3 linked regions of the Drosophila melanogaster genome follow. The protein of the gene in region 1 interacts with the protein of each later gene in a pairwise test. Each region holds a gene or a part of one and is shown in the gene's direction. Other genes may lie near its edges.

Evidence for each region.
Region 2: the proteins of Ir60a (region 1) and CG15022 interact in a two-hybrid assay, tested with the Drosophila melanogaster proteins (one large-scale study listed by BioGRID).
Region 3: the proteins of Ir60a (region 1) and CycT interact in a two-hybrid assay, tested with the Drosophila melanogaster proteins (one large-scale study listed by BioGRID).

The regions. Positions count from the first base shown.
Region 1 is NT_033778.4:24,248,026-24,254,472, reverse strand, and holds Ir60a (ionotropic receptor 60a), read left to right. Parts: upstream 1-3,169; coding exon 3,170-4,084; intron 4,085-4,182; coding exon 4,183-5,418; downstream 5,419-6,447. Other genes in the region: nord, read right to left, coding at 46-211, 272-412, 473-606, 674-1,352, 1,419-1,668, 1,742-1,827.
Region 2 is NT_037436.4:4,457,466-4,462,445, reverse strand, and holds CG15022 (uncharacterized protein), read left to right. Parts: upstream 1-2,128; 5' UTR 2,129-2,198; coding exon 2,199-2,201; intron 2,202-2,263; coding exon 2,264-3,148; 3' UTR 3,149-3,253; downstream 3,254-4,980. Other genes in the region: CG15023 (uncharacterized protein), read left to right, coding at 1,127-1,129, 1,194-1,700; CG11345 (uncharacterized protein), read left to right, coding at 4,334-4,336, 4,401-4,980.
Region 3 is NT_037436.4:17,551,136-17,560,767, reverse strand, and holds the start of CycT (cyclin T), read left to right. Parts: upstream 1-2,979; 5' UTR 2,980-3,695; coding exon 3,696-4,272; intron 4,273-4,348; coding exon 4,349-4,394; exon of another isoform or gene 4,395-4,625; intron 4,626-4,936; exon of another isoform or gene 4,937-5,237; coding exon 5,238-5,833; intron 5,834-5,889; coding exon 5,890-7,964; 3' UTR 7,965-9,632. UniProt on the Drosophila melanogaster protein: Regulatory subunit of the cyclin-dependent kinase pair (CDK9/cyclin T) complex, also called positive transcription elongation factor B (P-TEFb), which is proposed to facilitate the transition from abortive to production elongation by phosphorylating the CTD (carboxy-terminal domain) of the large subunit of RNA polymerase II (RNAP II).

The DNA.
Region 1 (6,447 bases):
GGGTATGGGTTTGGATTGGGGGATTACGACCACCACTGGTAGCGCTTAGTAGAAGGACTCGTGCGATCCGTCCAGGCACTGACTGGCCATGTGGAGGGTCAGCGCCTGGTAGGGCAGCGGCTTGCCCATGCTCAGGTTGGCCGTTACGTAGACCAGGTAGCTGGAACCCGGCATCAGGTTCAGTATGGTCTCCGTCTCGATGTTGTCGGGACTGTGGGGAGTAGTGCATCATATTATCATATCGTTACATATAGGCTCTGCTAAGACCCACCTCTGCTGCCTCTCCCTGCAGGTCATCCACTCGAAGTATCTGTACTGCATCACCCGCTTGGGCACAAAGTCCATGCAGTAGTTGGTAAAGTCCACCACGCTGCGATTGCGCTGCGGCAGGTTGAACACTATGATGCAGTAGCTGCAAGTAAATTTAGTTTAAAAGAAGGCGCACACACATAACTCTGCATTGGCGCTTTACCTCAGCTCCCGTTCATCCGGTGAGCCATTCCATGCAATGGTGGCTCTGCTGCACCGCGTTCGCACATTGAAGACTGTCGTGTTCTGCGGCAGCTCGGGCAAATCCCGGAACAGAGCCTCGCTGCTCAGGGCCACCTGTTAAATAGGGGTATACATTACTTTGGGCCAAGCCACATAGTCCGCGGACTGATTATCTCCCTACCATGACCTTCTGAGCTCGCAACGCCTCGTCATCGTTGCTGGGCTCGAACCGCATGAGATAGCGCTCCCCTGGTAGGACTCCCTTCTGCCGAATGTACGTTGGACTATAGAAGGCCTCCGTTTTCCCCACCTCGCTGCGTTGCCGTAGCAGCTTCACCCGGATTTCGCTGCCCGAGCAAGGGATCAAAAGGTGCCTCATGAACGGCTCCCCCAGCTGGCGAGTCGTCTGCGGAACCTTGAAGCTGTACACCTGCTTCCCGTGCTGTCCACCGATCTTGAGTTGCATCAGAGCCTGCTGCTTCAGGGCCAGAGGTTGGGTGCGGTTAAAGTTCACCTGGCTGCTGGCCAGTCGCAGGGTGAGGTTCTGTCTACCCTGGTGGATTCCGAACAGGTCCAGATGGTAACTGCTCCTCGGAAGAAGGCGTCGCAGCAGCTGTTGGCGCCTCTTCCCCGTGCACACGATGTGAACGTTCTGCCTAGGATTAAGTCTCCTTTCCCGCTGGGGTGGAGCACCCCAAATCCCTTCCAAGGGACCGCCTGCGGCGCAACTGGGAGTCATGGGCTGCTGGTCCGTGTAGGCGGACACCGCCTGGCAGAAGTTGGTGAAGATCATCCGCGGCGTGTCCATGGAGAGTCTCTGAATCACCAGGCAATAGTGCATGACATGGAAATCAAACTTGCTGAAACGATTTTGAATAATCATAAGTTATAAGTATATCCGTGTAATAAAATCATCTAGATCTCACCTCCTTTCCCACTTGACGATCATCTCGCGCTTCCGCACGCGATTCTGGGTGCGAATGGCGATTCGGTGCGTGGCGTTGAGGAGGGGCCAGTCGTGCTGGGGATGCTCTGCCAGGGCGTCCACCTTGAGGGCTCCCGAGTGGCGGGCGAGGACGAAGAGGTCGTACTGGCCACGCAGGGCGCAGGGCAGCACCAGACTGCCCACAGCCACACCTGGCCCAGGTGCCACTGCCGCCGGCCGAAGGGGGTTTCCTGCAGAGGCGGTTGGGTGGCGGGTTAGTGGCGGTTGGTGGCGGTATGCGGCTCCTCAAAGGGGCGGACTTACCTGTCTGATTGTAGTACATCTTGCGGCCCACGGGCGCCGAAAAGCGAATCGTCAGCGGCGTCGAGTCGTTCAGGTTCAGCACAAATCTGGAAGACGGAGAACGAGATGAAGGCGGCTCTTCGAGGGGCGGAGTAAGTGAGCTGTTAACGCCCTTTGTCAAAAATGATGACACTAAATTATCACACGCAATTTGTTTTGCCGCCTGTCTGAGCCGAACTGAACCAAATGAGTCAGCGGCTTTTGGCCATACCCTCCCTGACTAAAGGATCAGCTTGGTTAGATAAGTCGTAACTTATAACTTATAACTTAACTTAACAATAACTAACTAACTAACTAATGAAATAACAATGGTGTCAAAAAGAATCTCATTTTGTATCTCTCACTGCATACTTTTAAATCACCTTTGGTATACAAGTTGGCTTAATTACGGGGCATCCGAAAGGGTATACCCTCTTCGGCTATCCTTGTCCTTTCGCCAACTTTGTTTATCCATCTTCGCTGATGCCGCTGCAACTTTGTTGCAGCCAAAGATTGCGCTCAAGTCCCCTGGGCACTGGCCCTTTGCTGAATTTGCTGGCTCTTGTATTGTAATTAAATGCGAAATTTACGAGCAATTTTTCTAATGACAAACTGCTAAGACAAATGAGCTCGCCGATACACCCACATGGACACAGGGAAACAGGGAGCTTCGAGCTGGCAAGGATGCAGTTTCCAAAGGGGCAGGACAGGATGGCCATTCCATTGCAGCAAATGACTCATTGACTTGGCGAGATGGTCGGCCATCTCGAGTTTTATTTTTATGACCGGCTACTTCCGGCCAACGCCATGGGCCATCCTCCTCGTCATCATCCCCCGCAATCCGGACGAGCGAACAGAAGTTGGTGCGCCACATAGCCATATAGCCATTATACCATGCAGTCCGTCGTATTTTTGGCCGCCCTGCCAAAAGGTTCGGATTGATGGAGTGTTTTAATGCATTTCGACCATTGTTGGCGGTGGCGCCGCTGCGACTGAGCAAATATTTGCTTTAATTTAAGCCTTGCATGTTGCAATGGCGATTGTTTGTTGTTTTCTGCTGTTGTTATTATTGTTGCTGGGGGCATCCTCGTTGTCGGCACGCTGACAGCAGTCAATTATACAAGGCAAACAACGGCCAAAGGCGAAAGTTGAATGCGCTTCCGGACGCGAAACTCCAGAATGACTTAATGCACTTTTACAAGCCAGCAGTGGTTGTTTAATGGACGGATTATCATATTACAGCGATTTGCGATGGATCAGTCAGAGGCACTGTGTAGTGTTAATACTGTTCCAGACCCCAAACCGATATACCCAAGCAATCAAATGTAGGACATCAGTCACATCACCTTCCCACGGAAACTCACACCAGCCGCAGTTAATTCGCAATTGTCCGACGTGACAGAAGCAATAATGTGGTGTAATAATCCGGGTCTCATCATCATCATCTTTCTGGGGCAGATTTTAAACCTGTGCCAGGGGATAGTGAATCTTTCGAATGAGACGGCCAACACGGTCATCTTCATGCTGCCCGAAAAGGACTTGGGTCCCGATGTGTGGAAGGCTGGAGTGGGCTGCCTCGATAGCTTCGCCCAAATCTTCTTCTTTCGCAACCCGAAGGAGCGCTTCACCAGAGCCTATAACTTGATGCTGGTGCACGCCTTTCATCTGTCCAGTCCGGCGGATCAGATCCAGGAAGGATTCAGCAAACTGATCAACGAAGCAGTCACGAATCCAGGGCCGCCGGACAGGGAGGAACTCTTCCAAATGCGCGTGGCCAGTGATTACAACATCACGAATGGGACCGAAGACAAGGGAGAGCTGATCCTAGCGGACAATTATGTGATAGTGGTGGACTCGGTGGATCGATTAAAAGAGCTAATGAAGAAAAAAATTGTCGAAATGCGATCCTGGAATCCAGGAGCGCGTTTTCTGGTGCTCTTTCATAATGCGACTTGTCGGAATCGACCGCTTGGCGTAGCCTCCAATATTTTCAAGGACCTCATGGAAATGTTTTACGTGCACCGAGTTGCTCTTCTCTATGCCAACTCCACCATGAACTACAATCTGCTGGTCAATGATTACTACAGCAATGTAAACTGCAGGATTCTGAATGTCCAGAGCGTGGGCCAGTGCCACGATGGCAAACTTTACCCCAATAATGCTGTCGTTAAGGCCTCCATGCAGGACTACGTATCAGGATTCAGTCCCAGGAACTGCACCTTTTTTGCCTGTTCCTCCATCTCTGCTCCCTTTGTGGAGGCCGACTGTATCCTGGGACTAGAGATGAGGATCCTGGGGTTCATGAAAAATCGACTGAAATTCGATGTGAGTATTTAACACTTTCATACTTCAAGATCGTCTTGGCTTGCAAAAGTCCTGCTTATTGTGCTAAGCTAACAACTATCCTATTTTCCACTGGTAAGGTAAACCAAACCTGCAGCCTGGAGTCACGTGGTGAAATGGATGGCCCAGCTAACTGGACTGGATTACTGGGGAAAGTCCAGAACAACGAGTGCGACTTTGTCTTCGGCGGCTATTATCCGGACAACGAGGTGGCGGACCATTTTTGGGGATCCGATACCTATCTGCAGGATGCGCACACGTGGTACATAAAAATGGCCGACAGAAGACCCGCCTGGCAGGCGTTGGTGGGTATTTTCGAAGCCTACACCTGGATTGGATTCATCCTGATTCTAATAATCAGCTGGCTGTTCTGGTTCACCCTGGTTATGATTCTTCCGGAGCCGAAGTATTACCAACAGTTGAGTCTTACGGCCATTAATGCCCTGGCCGTCACCATATCGATAGCCGTCCAGGAACGACCCATTTGCGAGACGACGAGGCTGTTCTTCATGGCCCTGACTTTGTATGGCCTGAACGTGGTGGCTACATACACGTCCAAGATGATAGCCACCTTCCAGGATCCCGGCTACCTTCACCAGCTGGACGAGCTGACGGAAGTGGTGGCCGCGGGTATTCCGTTTGGCGGCCACGAGGAGAGTCGCGACTGGTTCGAGAATGACGACGACATGTGGATCTTTAACGGATACAACATTTCGCCGGAGTTCATTCCGCAATCGAAGAACCTGGAGGCGGTGAAGTGGGGCCAGCGGTGCATCCTGAGCAACCGGATGTACACGATGCAGAGTCCCCTGGCGGACGTCATATACGCCTTTCCCAACAACGTTTTCAGCAGTCCGGTGCAGATGATCATGAAGGCGGGATTCCCCTTTCTCTTCGAGATGAACAGCATCATCCGCCTCATGCGCGACGTGGGCATTTTTCAGAAGATCGACGCGGACTTTAGGTACAACAACACGTACCTCAACAGGATCAACAAGATGCGCCCCCAGTTCCCGGAAACGGCTATCGTCCTGACCACGGAGCACCTGAAGGGACCCTTCTTCATCCTGGTGGTGGGCAGCTGCTGGGCCGCCCTCACGTTCATTGGCGAGCTAATAATCCACAGATGGCGAACCCAGCTGGTCAGCACGAGCGAGCAGCAGGACAGGAGGAGTGACAAGAGGAGGAGGAGGAGGAGGAGGAGGAAGCCAGAAAAGGATAACCGCTGGCAGCGACAAGTTCAAGTGGCTCCAGTCGTTCGATTTACGCCAGTCAAACGACGCAAAGTTTTCCAGGGACAAACAAGTCAAAAGTAAACTAACCCAAACTAACTCCCTAGATGGCTGCGATAAAATTGACTCAATTCACATAAATTTGCAATTGAGAGACACTGACTCTGACTCTGACTGGCAATCCCCAAGCCCGTCCCCCCGTCCTTCATCCCCCATCCTCCATCCTCCTGCGATGTCTGGGGCGCTTGTCTGGTCTATAGTCTATATAGTATGGCATAGTGTAGTATAGTATAGTGTGGTTGGTCTGGCCCGTGCCGTTCGGGTCGCTTCTGTTACTTTTCACGCGAAATACTTAAAATCAGAGACAAAATTCTATTTTTGCAAACAACAACGGCGGGGAGTCTGTGCCCGTGCCTCTGGGATTGGCATTGGGATTGGGATCGGGAATGGAAGTGGAGGCGGGCAGGGCAGTGCGCAGTGGACGAGCTCCTCGCCCCGCTTTCCGCAAATTGACAATCAGCCTCAGCTTTCCCAGCTGCTCTGCTGCCGGAAAACTCTGGGCGTAAACAGAGATAAAGAACGAGTTAAGCAGATATCCCTATAAGTGGCGCATTCGCTGATTGCAAAGGAAGTTACTGCAGGGCAGCCAAACAAATATCGCTCGGATATCAGATGGCGCAAGTTTCAGTTGGAAAATATCCCAAATGGAATTGGAAGTAGCGCCACGGAGCAGGGACAACTTTTGCGGAATTATGTGAGTTACGGGAAATAAATTCGTTGATTCTTGGCAATTCCCATTGAATAGGTAGTAAACTAGGTTGATGAAGCGTAAACCATTCGAATGAAATCAATAAAAAGTAATGAATAAAATTGAAGAAGGTACGCAGTACGATTTCAAAACAATAACGAATGACCAGTTTAATGGGATCTACATAATCTATAATTCATATAGATTTCAGAATTCAAAAGGAATCCGCCAGATACTAGATATTTGGAGTCATAAATCAGATGGCGCCTTGGAAAATTCCCATGGCAACTTGTTGAGACAATTCATCATCTGTTTCATTAATGGATCTTGTGGCCGACATTGAGTGCCGCATGAGTAATCATCTG
Region 2 (4,980 bases), on another chromosome or scaffold:
TTCTAAATAATCCAGACATTATTTAAAATAGTTTTTTAGTTTTGTAAACACCGTGTCTAAACTGTTCAAACAATAATATTTAAGTATTCCTTAAGAATAAAATTAAATGTTTCCAGACTTGTTCATAATTTCATTCACTATAAACATAGGTCTTCTCCTAAAACTATTTCGATATCTTCTGACTACCACCATTAAAAAAATGTTAGTTTGAAAATAGTCTTAATTTTCCTTGTTCTCCGTGGCCGTTAAGCTCCTTACCATCTTCTCCGCCTCTGCTATATAACTCGACTGATCTGTAACTGAATTGCTTCCGCAAGATCATGTCCAGCAGACAGCTTCATTGTCCATCTGTCCATGAAACTCTGACCACTCAAACTTCTTGAGTTGCAAAAGGCAGCGCGAGCCATAATTATTATAAATGAAGTCTAAATGATTTATGACAGCCAGCAGAGCACGCTTACAACGCTTCCAGCGACGGAACTACCTCTTCAGATGCACTGAGAGAAAATTTAGCTTGACTAGCTTAAAATAAATAACATTAAGTGCATGTACCTTTCATGTATGAATGAATTTCATTAATTAACATTTAAAATATGTAGCAACCCATATCAGAATGCAAGTACTCGCTGATTACTTATTTCAAATTGATTCAAAATCTGCTCAGAATTTTTATGAATTTATGACTGTTTTTCTGTGTGCTAAGCTTTTGTGCCCCAGGTTCCGTCGGAAGTTTGGTCATACCTTTAACACCGTAACAATGAAAACCCAAGTGACGACGTTGATGAAAAACGGCTCAGTAGGGCCCCATATAGGCATAATAGTTCCGAAACAAAGTTGGCGATGTTGACGCTGCTCCTCTGTCAACTTCGGCGCACTATTGTGGCGCTAATCATTCATATAAACATGGCTGCGGAGAGCGCTACAGATACAGATACATTTACCGATACAAAGAATGCCGTGGGGCTAGCGGTGTTATATCGATTTAAATGATAATAATTGGCCTCTAGAGCGCCATGGACAGTATCGATCTGTTTTAGAATTTTGACTATAAATAAACCGACGTGGATGCAAACGCTCAATCATTTGTGGTTTAAGAGCTCAAGGTGTTAGACATATCATAAAGGAGATGGTGAGTGTGGTCAGTTGTAGATATGAGAAGCAATCTGAACTTCACGATTTCTTTCCTATTTCAGAAGCTATTCATTTTGGCTACCTGTCTGCTGGCTTTTGCAGCCGGTGATGTTTCGCATTTGCCGCTGGAACTCCTGGAGGAGCATCATGAGCATGGCTATGGCTATGACTACCCCAAGCCGGAGATACCATTTGTGATTACCTCGACGACGGAGCCACCACCGCCACCACCGACTTATCTGCCACCCAAACCAGTACCCACTTACCTACCTCCTCCTCCGCCCACAACCACAACTACCACCACAACCACTCCGGCTCCTACTCCCGCTCCTACCTACCTTCCTCCCCCTCCACCTACTACCACTACCACGACAACCACTCCCGCTCCCACTCCTGCTCCCACTTACCTTCCTCCCCCACCTCCACCACCGCGTACCACTACCACCACCACCACTACAACCACAACGACACCTGCACCCACGCCAGTGCCCACGTACCTTCCACCCCCACCACCACAACCGGAACCGGGTTACCACTACGATGTGCCCGCCCAAGAGTTCACCTTCTGAGCAAAATCGCGATCGAACTGAACATGGAAGATTTCCCCGGATTAGTTTTGTTTTAAATCGTTCCACTAGGCTTAGGTTTATATAAGGTTAAAGCCATCTCAATAAACGCTGTTTTGTTAACCCCATTAGCATCGGTATCTCCCAAATATTTATTGGGATGGGACAAAAGTGGTACAGATGGCCGAGTCAATCACCGTCAATTGTCTGGGATTTCGTCGCATCCGCTGCATATTCATGAGCTGCTTTGTTGTGCAGAGCTAATTTGGTCGAAATCGCATTAATTGTTTTGGGGTAGAGGGAGATAACACACGCCGATAATTGGCCGACCTCAAGTTCATGAAAACCAAGAAAAGTGTGAAGAAAACCAAATAGCCAGCCGGTCGAGGAAGGCGCGATCTTTGTATAAAAGCGGTGACCATCGACGTTATTGACATTACTACCTGCTGTCATCAAACGGCAGCAACATCATCTCGATCGGTGGATTATCTCTTAAAGGAAATGGTAAACAGTAGCGGCATATTCTCTAATAAAGATGACCTAACAGGAGGTTGGTTATTTTACAGAAACCCATGCTGATCCTTTTGGCTCTGGCAGGCTTTGCCATCTGTATTCGGGCAGACGTGTCCCACCTGTACGGAGGAGGTTACCACGATCACGGCCATGATCACCATCACCACCATGATCACGATCACGATCATGATCACCACCACTATGATGTCCATTCCCACCACCATTCTCCCTCGTCACACGATCATCATGATCTGCACATTGATCTGCACTATCAGCCGGATCACCACCATCATCATCATCAAGAGGCCAAGTTCGATATCCCTAGCGGATATAGCTATGGACCTCCAGAGAAACCTCGCCAGAAGTACCTGCCGCCCAAGGTTTCCCTGCCACCGCCACCACCTCCACCGCCCAAGGCAACTTATCTGCCTCCCTCAAAGCCTGAAGTGAAGTACCTGCCCCCCGAACCGGTGGCCAAGTATCTGCCACCCAAGGTCGCTCCCAGCCTGCCTCCTCCACCACCACCTCCAGTTGTGGCGCCCAAGCCCACATATCTGCCTCCCAGTCCGCCAGAGTCCAAGTACCTTCCTCCTCCGACGCCCGAGGTGAAGTATCTGCCACCTGCTCCAGTGGCAAGGTATCTGCCACCCAAGGTTGCACCCAGTCTGCCACCACCACCTCCACCCCCACCAGTGGCTCCCAAGAAGCTGTATCTTCCTCCTGCCGAGCCGGAGACTAAGTACCTGCCACCTTCCGAGCCCGTCGAGAAGTATCTGCCTCCTAAGCCCGAACAAAAATATCTGCCACCCCAGCCTGAGGTAGATTTCCACATACCGATTCCATCCTATGCACTGCCCTTGGGCCCTGCACCAAGTCCAATCCACGACGCCGAGCCTGGTTACCACTACAAGCCTCCACTTCGCCGTTTCAGGCATTAGGATAATCAACCACCGAAAAAAAACCAAACCACAAGCACTGCATCTAGTTTTAAGCTGTACACATTAAAAGCATTTTTAACAAAAAATAAAATGGAGTATTACACCACTCGCACTCTTTCCCCATCCTCAAGGTCAAAGATATCAAACCCAAATTGCTGTCACCCAGCCCCCAAGGGATCCATGTGGATTTCAATCTGACCTCCAAATCTAATTGCGGCCAATCAACCGAAATAGCCAAACGGCTTCGGTTTTAGCTTTAGTTCAGCTCGATCATCACCTGCAGTGTCGATAATTACTGTCTTTTTGGATGAAAAATGATGTGAGTTTTGGTTTGAATATATTTATAGGGATTGATCGGTGTCGGTTACAGAAAGGTTCAAACCGAACCAAAATCGCTAATCGCCAATTGCAGCCATCGGCAATGGGACGACAGTTGACCTCTTTCAATGTTGCCCAGAGATGGGGCAAGTCTTTTAAAGGTGCCATGAAAAGATTAGACAGAAATAAATAATTAAGCCCCTAACGAATTGAGTATGCTCTTTTGAAAAGGGTTAAAGTTTAAATGTTTAAACATTAGGTTACTTTAATAGCACACTTGATTTGTCTTTCATTTTGTCTTTAAGCATTTTAATTAAAACCTGATAGTGATGTATCAATAATGTTATACATTTCTTAGGTACATGATGACTAATGCATACGAAATAAATAGTCTAACAACTCCAAAAGTACGATAAACTATTTATCCCAATAATTGCCTAACCAAAAACTATTTTAAGTACTTGGCAAACGCAGCGGTGATCGTAAAACCCAACACGTTTATGGCTCCCAGCCATAAAGAGCTCCCTGGTCGGGCCAAAAAAAAACAAAAGCCAACGCAACGAGATGACTTCGAATTAAGAGATTTAATAAAAATTGAATGCCAATTCCCAATACCGGCTGCCAAAGGGGCGAGACCCCTAAACGCCGCTTAGCTGACAACCGGGCCATTTGGATATAGACGGATCGCAGTCAGATCGTCTCTCGCGGCGTCGGCGTTGGCCAGAGGTAATAACGTGACGCGATCGCTTTATAGCGACCACTGATTCAGGTTCAGGTTCTCTAACTGTATAAATAAAGAAGCACTTGCCGGAAACTGTATCACTTCGGTAGAGGCCGTCGTCGCACCAAGAACGTTCCAACAGAAAAATGGTTTGTGTTTACTCTCCAAGGATAATAGCTCAGCGTGTTAAATTGATTTTATTGTATATTTCAGAAAGTCCTTATGCTGGCTGTTTGCAGCTTGGCTCTGGTAGCCGCTGATGTCTCGCATTTGTTCGGTCATGACCACCATGATCACCATGACCATCCTGGCTACAACTATGACCCACCAAGCATCCCCTTTGAACTGCCCACTCCGGCTCCGGCTTATCTGCCTCCAGAACCAGTGACCGTTCGTGAGGCTCCTGTGACCGTGCCTCCTCCAGTTTATTTGCCACCAGCGACCGTGAAACCTGAGATCCCGGTTGTCAGGACCCCCAAGCCCGCCTATCTGCCTCCTCCACCACCAGTGATTAAGGTCAACCCACCCAAGCCCGCCTATCTGCCTCCTCCGCCACCAGTTGTCAAGGTCAATCCACCCAAGCCTGCCTATCTGCCTCCTCCGCCACCAGTTGTGAAGGTCAACCCACCCAAGCCCTCCTACCTGCCTCCTCCACCACCGGTTGTTAAGGTCAACCCACCCAAGCCTGCCTATGTGCCACCTCCACCACCGGCTGTCAAGGTCAACCCACCCAAGCCCGCTTATCTGCCACCTGCACCTGTGGTGGAGCAGCCCCGTTACGTCGCACCAGCTG
Region 3 (9,632 bases), on another chromosome or scaffold:
TTTGTATATTTACAACATCAACAGCAGAAAAGCTCACAGGATAAACCCGAAGAAGGCACTTCTTGAGCCCTCGTTTAAGCAGTCTTAGAACACCAAACCAAACTCAAGTCTCTCGATCTGAAGTTTATTTATAAAGCATAAAGTTAAACTACCGTATTCTTGTTAACGTCACACTGCCACAAATCGAAACAAGCCTTACATAATGGAACAGATCTGGACATTTAATCGAACCAAACCGAGATACTGACCCATAGTTTCAACAATACTGCAACCGCAATCCTCAATGCAATATACCGACAACTTCTACAACAATTTCCAAACACTGCCCAAAACGTGCAATCTCTTGAAAGGATACCTTGAATAGGAAAGAGAATAAAACCAACTCCTAGTTCTTTAATCTAATTCTTTAATAGTTGCGTTCTCTAAGTACCTTTATCTATTATTATTATTATTATGTGTACGTGAAGATGAAATCTACAATATATCATTTTGTTTATGATGATTGGTGATTGATGATGCAAATAAACAAAGTGAGTCTTGAGTTCAACTCTGTTCATTGTAAACAATTTTTTATGATTATTTTTTATTTTTTAAATAAAATTATTATTTCAATTTGTGCATGCGTTTTATTTACACATTCGCAAACCAAACACACCAAAAAAAAAACAAACCAATATAAAAACCGAATGAAATATAGAACGTAAGCAAAGATATGATACAAATATATGGAACCCGCTACAAATTTGGAATCTAGATATACCTCCCATGAAAAGTACATAATGTTGCATAAGTTACAATATATTCAAAGTCTATATAGGATAGTCGAGATTCGGATTGACGATATTTGAAGTCGAGATCACATATTTTAGATAAAGTCCAGTCGGTGTATTTTGTAGTTCTAAGACACCATTTCACGAGGTCTCAGTTTATGAGGTTTCCCCCAGATCATGGATTTATATGTATGTCTATTTATTGGCGTAGATCACCGCATCTACCATTATTACCTAGCGTAAATCAGTTATTAGTTGTTAGGGAATGAATATTTAAATGTTATAAGACCTTAGATATAAGCACACCCACAACAAGAGCAGCATCGAACCAGATATGCAAAAATCACGAGTCGAGTACAACGAAATCGGTAAACAAGAATCTGAGCCACAACCCGGATAATGCAGCTTTAAATCGAGATAGTACATTTAAATTTCAATCTCCTATTTCCCAGAGAGCTCTCCTTTCACTTCGATAGCCTAAATCAGTTGGAGACTCCAACCCGAAAGCATTTATACATGCTAAGCACGATAATTGTACATATACAACTTCTGGACCTCATGACTCCACTCGATTATAAACGTATTTTATATGTATACACCAATTATTTGTTAGATTGGATAACCCCGAATGGCTGGATAAGACCAACTAAATTATATGCAATAGAATATCGATGCCGTTGGGCAAGATTTCTATGCTAGGCTAAGGCTAAGACAAGATATCTTTCTATTGGTAACTCAAAAACGAAACGAACTATATAGCTTTTAAATGGAAACGTGCGATTATTCAAAGGTATTCTATGCCGCCTGAGAATAGTAGAGATATGGATTGGCCTAGATTTAGACGAATATGTTGAATGCATTAACATTAGATACGATTAGTTTTTGACTTACTAACCTAAGTTAAGTTTTTAGACTGTTTATTTCACTTTTTGTTCAATCTTTGTACATTTGACAGACACATTTTAAAAATGTCTGCGATGAGAAATCAGCTAAAGCCAGCCACAATATATATAATATATATATATATACTTTAATGCTTATGTAGTAAGGAAACGAACGTTGGATCGAAGTCATGGTATGTAGGTGAATTTTATGGTTAGAGGCAAGCGCAAGCGAACGGATTAGATTAATTTTTATAAGAATGCATTAAGAAAAACGAAGCAAGTAACAGTCACAAGCTAGCATAATTATTTACTGTTATGACGACATAAGAGTTTTAAGGTTTTTAGCTAAATTTTGTATATTTTAATCTACAAACTATAAATATATATTATCTGTTTTATAAATAACAATAAAAAATTCATATGTGTTTTTATGACAGATTTCAAATGGGTAGAGCATCGCTCTCAAAATGTATAGCCATTTTGAGCTGTACAGGAATTCGGAATGTCTTTTTTACTACTAGTATTATTTCTTATGATTCGGTCGGTTATGGCTTATACGCATAGACCAATAACTCTACATATCCCCACCCACAGAAAGAAGTCACAAAATCTGGGAGGCCAATTACAGGTCCAAAACGTTAGATTAGTCGGTCACCATTAAATCGATTGTGGCACGAGCTGTGTGACATATTGCGTCCTCTTTTTGGAACCACAGGTCCTGGACATCATGGTTGTTCGATTCAGGAATGAAAATGTTGGTAACAATAGCCCTATACCGATCGTCATTTACTGTAACGTACTGGCCATCGTCGGCTTTGAAGAAGTACGGACCAATGATTCCACCAGCCCATAAAGTTTTTCTGGATGTAACGGTGTTTGAGGATTGGCTTCAACCGAAGTGCTGGTTGTCCGACTAGGTATATAAACATATACATAACAACATTTGGATATTTTGATAAAAAAAAGTCATGCGATTAAATGAAGGTGCTCAAAGTACATATATAATATGTCCATATACATATAATAAGATATATTTAAGATGGGACTGTTCAAACATATTAAGTACAAATTCGATTCCCCCGGAATATACGTTATTTTTTAATTGAATAAGAAGGGAAAAAATGTTGACATTGTGATATTTCTACATGTGTTAGCGAAATGTAAAGTTTAAGGTAAGTTACTTAAAAATGTATTTACATTTATTTGAATATCTACCTTACGATTATTAATCGATAACATAAACAGTAGAATCAATGTTGCCATATTTTAAAAATAATATCGATAATGCGAAATAAACATCGGTTTGGAAAGCCTTATCGATCTGGCAGCCCTGCCGACGGCCATACTTGAAAATACATTTTTTTCTGCAAAGTTTGTCATTGTCACTGTGTGAATGGAATCTGTGATGTGTTGTGGAATTAAAAACGTCGAGTAAACGACCCGTAATGGTTAAAGTGCCCGGCGAAAGCAGTGCGAATAACTATGAATTGATACGAAAGTTGCATAACACGTCGCCTGGTGTCGCGGTTAGTGTGTTTTTCGTCTCGTTTCGTTTCCGCCGCAGTCGCAGTTTCCAGAAAACCTCACCACACCATACCATCTCCACCACGCACACACACACACAAACAAACACGCAGAGACGCGGCGGCGGAAAAAGTGTGCGGACCGCGGATTTAACCCCTCGTTCCAAACCCAAATTGGAGTCTCCCAAAAACAGCGAAATATCGAGTGTGGCTTAGCCGATGTGCCGTGCGATCCCCACTGCCCCTTCCGTACCGCTGCCACCCCCGCCACAGCAGCAACGCACACGGATACGGACACAGACACCAATACCAGCGCACTCAAGCACGGCCGACAAAGAAAGAGCGCTCTCCCTTCCTCTTCGTACAGTTAGTTCCTACAGCTGAATCAGCCAAAAGGGAATTACTAGGTCCATTCCGAGGCGCAGTTTGCATGTGAAACGGAGGTCCCCGCATAACCACGCGGAACCCGAAATCCCAGATCCCCATCTCCGCTGCACGGATAAAGGAAACATACAACCATGAGTCTCCTAGCCACGCCAATGCCCCAGGCGGCCACCGCCTCATCTTCTTCATCCGCCTCCGCGGCCGCCTCGGCCAGCGGGATTCCAATCACCGCCAACAACAACCTGCCTTTCGAGAAGGACAAGATCTGGTACTTCAGCAACGATCAGCTGGCCAATTCGCCAAGCAGAAGATGCGGCATCAAGGGCGACGATGAGCTGCAGTACCGCCAGATGACCGCCTATCTGATACAGGAAATGGGTCAGCGTCTGCAGGTGTCCCAACTGTGCATCAACACGGCCATTGTGTACATGCATCGGTTCTACGCCTTTCACTCCTTCACCCACTTTCATCGCAACTCCATGGCGTCGGCGAGCCTCTTCTTGGCCGCCAAGGTAGAAGAGCAACCGCGGAAGCTGGAGCATGTTATTCGGGCCGCCAACAAGTGCCTGCCGCCGACCACCGAGCAGAATTACGCCGAACTCGCCCAGGAGCTTGTGTTCAACGAGAACGTGCTCCTGCAGACGCTGGGCTTCGATGTGGCCATCGATCATCCGCACACGCATGTGGTGCGCACCTGCCAGCTGGTCAAAGGTATGCACCCACCATCCGACCCAAGCCATGTCCCCTTCACATGTCAGATGGTACTGATTACTGTGGTATATTTTAGCATGCAAGGATCTGGCGCAGACATCGTACTTCTTGGCCTCGAACAGGTATGGCTAGCAATGCGCTACTCTATGGTGTAATCCCTCCTAGAGATCGCCCCCAACGCAAATACGGCTGTGGTATAAGCAATGTGTGTGTGTGTGCGGGTGTGGTGTTGGCCCAATCCTCCCCAGAAAGTGGTCAGGCTGTAGAGAGTTCGATCCCTGACTTTTTGTGGCTAAAATCTTTGGGCAGTTCTTTTACCTGCTTAATTCCTCGCTTATAGCTAACAAACCCAGGTATGTGAGTCGAAACAAAAAAAAAAAGTGACGACCCCAAGTCACAAATCGAACAAGAACACGCGGTCCCTAATCGCAGCAGGACGTCTGTACAAATATCGCATCTTAGCAAAAAGGCAGTATTTTCCGTGTCCCTCGCGGTAATTATCCTCAGTTGCCTGCAATAACATTGTAATTTGTGTCGGAAAATCCGCCAAATGTCAAGAATAAGACTAATTCCTAGAAAGAGTCGTTAATTCCTAGAAAAAGATATTTGAAGAATTGTAATGATAACCATTGTAATCCTTTGGCATACTAAAACATCTGGAAAAAAGATAAATTCAGTTTGGCATACCTGCCTACCTAAAACATAGTCAAAATTCTGATTACATGAGGAGAGCTCATTGGGAAAATTTGCGCATTTCGAAATATCGGCAAACGTTTTAGAATAATTCTTTTAAGTTTAAGATCCCCAAGAAATAAAAGAGACTCGCTAAGAACATGCTAAGAACTAAAGACGTAATCTGTATTATAAGTGATGAAATCCCCCTGCACACACTCACCGAACTACATTTATATGTGATATTCTTGCAAAAGATTTCCCACTAAATTGACTTAACCATCCTGGCACAGCCTGCATCTGACCTCGATGTGCCTCCAATATCGCCCCACGGTCGTAGCCTGTTTCTGCATTTACCTAGCCTGCAAGTGGTCCCGATGGGAGATCCCCCAGTCGACCGAGGGCAAACACTGGTTCTACTATGTGGACAAGACGGTCTCGCTGGATTTGCTAAAGCAGCTGACAGATGAGTTCATCGCTATCTATGAGAAGAGCCCGGCCCGTCTGAAGTCTAAGCTTAACTCGATCAAGGCGATCGCCCAGGGAGCCAGCAATCGGACAGCTAACAGCAAGGACAAACCAAAGGAGGACTGGAAGATCACCGAGATGATGAAGGGCTACCACTCAAACATCACGACACCACCAGAGCTGTTAAACGGCAACGACAGCCGGGATCGGGACCGAGATCGTGAACGGGAGAGAGAGCGGGAACGGGATCCGTCGTCACTACTGCCGCCACCGGCTATGGTGCCGCAGCAAAGACGACAGGATGGTGGCCATCAGCGCTCGTCCTCAGTGAGCGGAGTGCCAGGCAGCAGCTCTTCGTCGTCTTCCTCCAGTCACAAGATGCCAAATTACCCTGGTGGCATGCCGCCCGACGCTCATACGGGTAAGTATTTCAACAACTGCAAAAAGAATCACATTTTTAACATCTTCGTATTGAAGATCACAAGTCAAAGCAGCCGGGCTATAACAATCGAATGCCCTCAAGTCACCAGCGTAGTAGTAGCAGTGGACTCGGTTCCTCGGGAAGTGGCAGCCAGCGCAGCAGCTCATCCTCGTCGTCTTCAAGCCAGCAGCCTGGCCGACCGTCTATGCCCGTGGACTATCACAAATCCTCTCGCGGCATGCCGCCGGTAGGCGTGGGCATGCCACCTCACGGCAGCCACAAGATGACTTCGGGCTCCAAGCCCCAGCAGCCGCAGCAGCAGCCGGTCCCACATCCATCCGCCTCTAATTCCTCTGCATCGGGCATGTCCTCCAAGGATAAATCCCAGAGCAACAAAATGTATCCGAACGCACCGCCGCCATACAGTAATAGTGCCCCTCAAAACCCGCTGATGTCGCGTGGTGGATATCCAGGCGCTAGCAATGGATCCCAGCCCCCGCCTCCCGCCGGATACGGCGGCCATCGCAGCAAATCCGGCTCCACCGTCCATGGCATGCCGCCTTTCGAGCAGCAATTGCCCTATTCCCAGAGCCAGAGCTACGGCCACATGCAGCAGCAGCCAGTGCCTCAGTCTCAGCAGCAACAGATGCCTCCGGAGGCATCCCAGCACTCGTTGCAGTCCAAGAACTCGCTCTTCAGTCCAGAGTGGCCAGACATTAAAAAGGAGCCCATGTCGCAGTCGCAACCACAGCCTTTTAACGGTTTGCTACCCCCTCCTGCGCCTCCCGGCCACGATTACAAGCTAAATAGCCATCCGCGCGACAAAGAAAGTCCCAAGAAAGAGCGACTAACGCCAACCAAAAAGGATAAGCACCGTCCTGTCATGCCCCCAGTGGGCAGTGGGAACAGTTCCTCCGGCTCGGGATCATCAAAGCCGATGCTACCGCCTCACAAGAAGCAGATACCCCATGGCGGGGACCTGTTGACCAATCCTGGAGAGAGTGGAAGCCTAAAACGGCCCAACGAGATCTCGGGAAGTCAGTATGGACTAAATAAGCTGGATGAAATAGATAACAGTAATATGCCTCGAGAAAAGCTTCGCAAGCTGGACACTACAACTGGACTACCAACTTATCCGAATTATGAGGAGAAACACACGCCTCTGAATATGTCCAACGGAATCGAGACAACGCCGGATCTGGTGCGCAGTTTGCTAAAGGAGAGTCTGTGTCCATCGAACGCTTCGCTCCTGAAACCGGATGCCTTGACTATGCCTGGCCTGAAACCACCGGCCGAACTGCTTGAGCCCATGCCCGCACCAGCGACAATCAAGAAAGAACAGGGAATAACTCCGATGACCAGTTTGGCTAGTGGGCCCGCACCCATGGATTTGGAAGTACCCACTAAACAGGCCGGAGAGATTAAGGAGGAAAGCAGCAGCAAGTCCGAAAAGAAAAAGAAGAAGGATAAACACAAACACAAGGAGAAGGACAAGTCCAAGGACAAGACGGAAAAGGAGGAGCGTAAGAAGCACAAGAAGGACAAGCAGAAGGATCGTAGCGGCAGCGGTGGCAGCAAGGACAGTTCTCTTCCCAATGAGCCTCTGAAGATGGTTATCAAGAATCCCAACGGCAGCCTGCAGGCCGGTGCGTCAGCTCCCATTAAACTTAAGATCAGCAAAAATAAGGTTGAACCCAATAACTACTCTGCAGCGGCGGGTCTGCCTGGCGCAATCGGATATGGCTTGCCTCCAACTACGGCTACCACCACATCCGCTTCGATCGGAGCAGCTGCTCCTGTTCTGCCTCCTTATGGTGCCGGCGGTGGTGGCTACAGCTCATCGGGCGGCAGCAGTTCCGGTGGCAGCAGCAAGAAAAAGCACAGCGATCGTGACCGCGACAAGGAGAGCAAAAAGAATAAGAGCCAAGACTACGCGAAGTACAATGGCGCTGGTGGCGGCATCTTTAATCCCCTTGGCGGTGCTGGCGCCGCACCCAATATGTCTGGAGGAATGGGCGCCCCCATGTCTACTGCTGTACCACCATCCATGCTGTTGGCGCCCACCGGTGCAGTACCACCCTCTGCCGCTGGGCTGGCACCGCCTCCCATGCCCGTCTACAACAAGAAGTAGTGGTAGCGGTCAGAGGGTTATTCTTAAGTCGTACGTTTTGATATATGTATAGAACCTCAGTAAGTCCGATTGTAGTATAGTTGTTAGGATTGTTAGTGAGATGCATTATTGATTTTAGTTAAGCACATAGATAAAACTCCAAATTGGAAGTGAAACCGGATGCGCAGATCGAAGAAGAGTGGAAGTAGATGTCGCGATGGGGCTGGACGTAAAAGCAGTACTCAAATCGCGAAAACTTTTGTACAGCATTAATTAATTTATAACTATAATAAATAGCATACATATAAGCCCACATACATAAAAATACGGAATAGTTTTAAGCGAATTGTTGGCAAACGGAATCAGAGACCCAAGCAGAAAATTCACAGAGAGCAGCAATGGCCGTCTAGCGTTTAAGTTAGCAAATCAAATACCCGTTTCACACACTCTAACCTGTATATAGCCACTCTCACAAACACACAATCAAGAGATATATAGTACAGACTTCCGCTTAGCAAATATACTAAATACGGCCCCAACTAAATGCAAGCCAGAGAGATAGAAAGAGTAAGAACTTCAAAATAATCCCCACAGAGGAGCATATAGTTGTGGCAGAGGATAGGAGAGTAAATGGAAAGCCAGCGCTTTGATTCAAAATTGAAGACGCCAAACCACATAATGAATTATTTAATTAATACATAGTTGCTAATCCGAAAATGAATGAAGATGTTTATTTTTAGTTAGCAAAGTTTTCCCTTCCTTTCTGAACGATTGCCCGATTACTAACCGTGTTTCAATATAGTTTTCGACACCTAGCAATATATACAGTAGTGTATTTACACTTTTCAATGAAGATAAGTAAAAAGATCGGATTGTTTCAGCGGATGATATTATGTTTCAAGATCGCCTGGAACGTTGACGTAGCTTTCATTTGTTTTAATTTATTTTTTAAATAGCATTACAAAACAAATTACCACAACAAAAAAAAAACCAAAACAAAAACAAATAATAAAGTCCCAAAACAAAAACGGAATATGCAAACAAAAAAGAAACCCAAAACTAAATTTTGGATAAAACAAAAGTTGTTGTGCAAGAAAACAAAAAGTTTTAAAATTATGTAAATGCAAGCGAAAACGTTGCAAGCAAACTAAGCTAAACGAACGAAAAACTAACAGAAGGCTAAACGAGGAGAAACAAAAGTTAGGCATATAGAAATCTAGGCATGATCTATATATTCGAGGCGAAAATGAGAATGAAATGAAATTTTATGTAATTTTCGACTAAGGCAAAGGTTAAGCGAACGTTGCGCGTTTTTCAAAACTATTCGTACTCGTATATTCGTATTCGATTTCTCTACTACTGCATTAAGCTGCAAGCATATATAGCTCTAAACACACCACACATCCATTCACACACCATCCATCCCATGCAGTCGAGAAACGTATTCTTTAAGTTGGGAACCCGAGAAACCCGTTTTTATAATCGATCGAAAGAATGCGCAATTTGCGTCTAAGATTTGGATTTCCCTTTATATACTTATTCTTGGCCCCTTTTACCACACTCCCCGCCCACGCCCATCCCCACCCCTCGCCCCTCCTAACTTAAGTTTTTGTACATACTTGGAAAGCAAATGGAAAACCCGCCGCTCGGGTGGCGGGCAAGTGTCGGGTTTCATTGGGATTGTTTGGT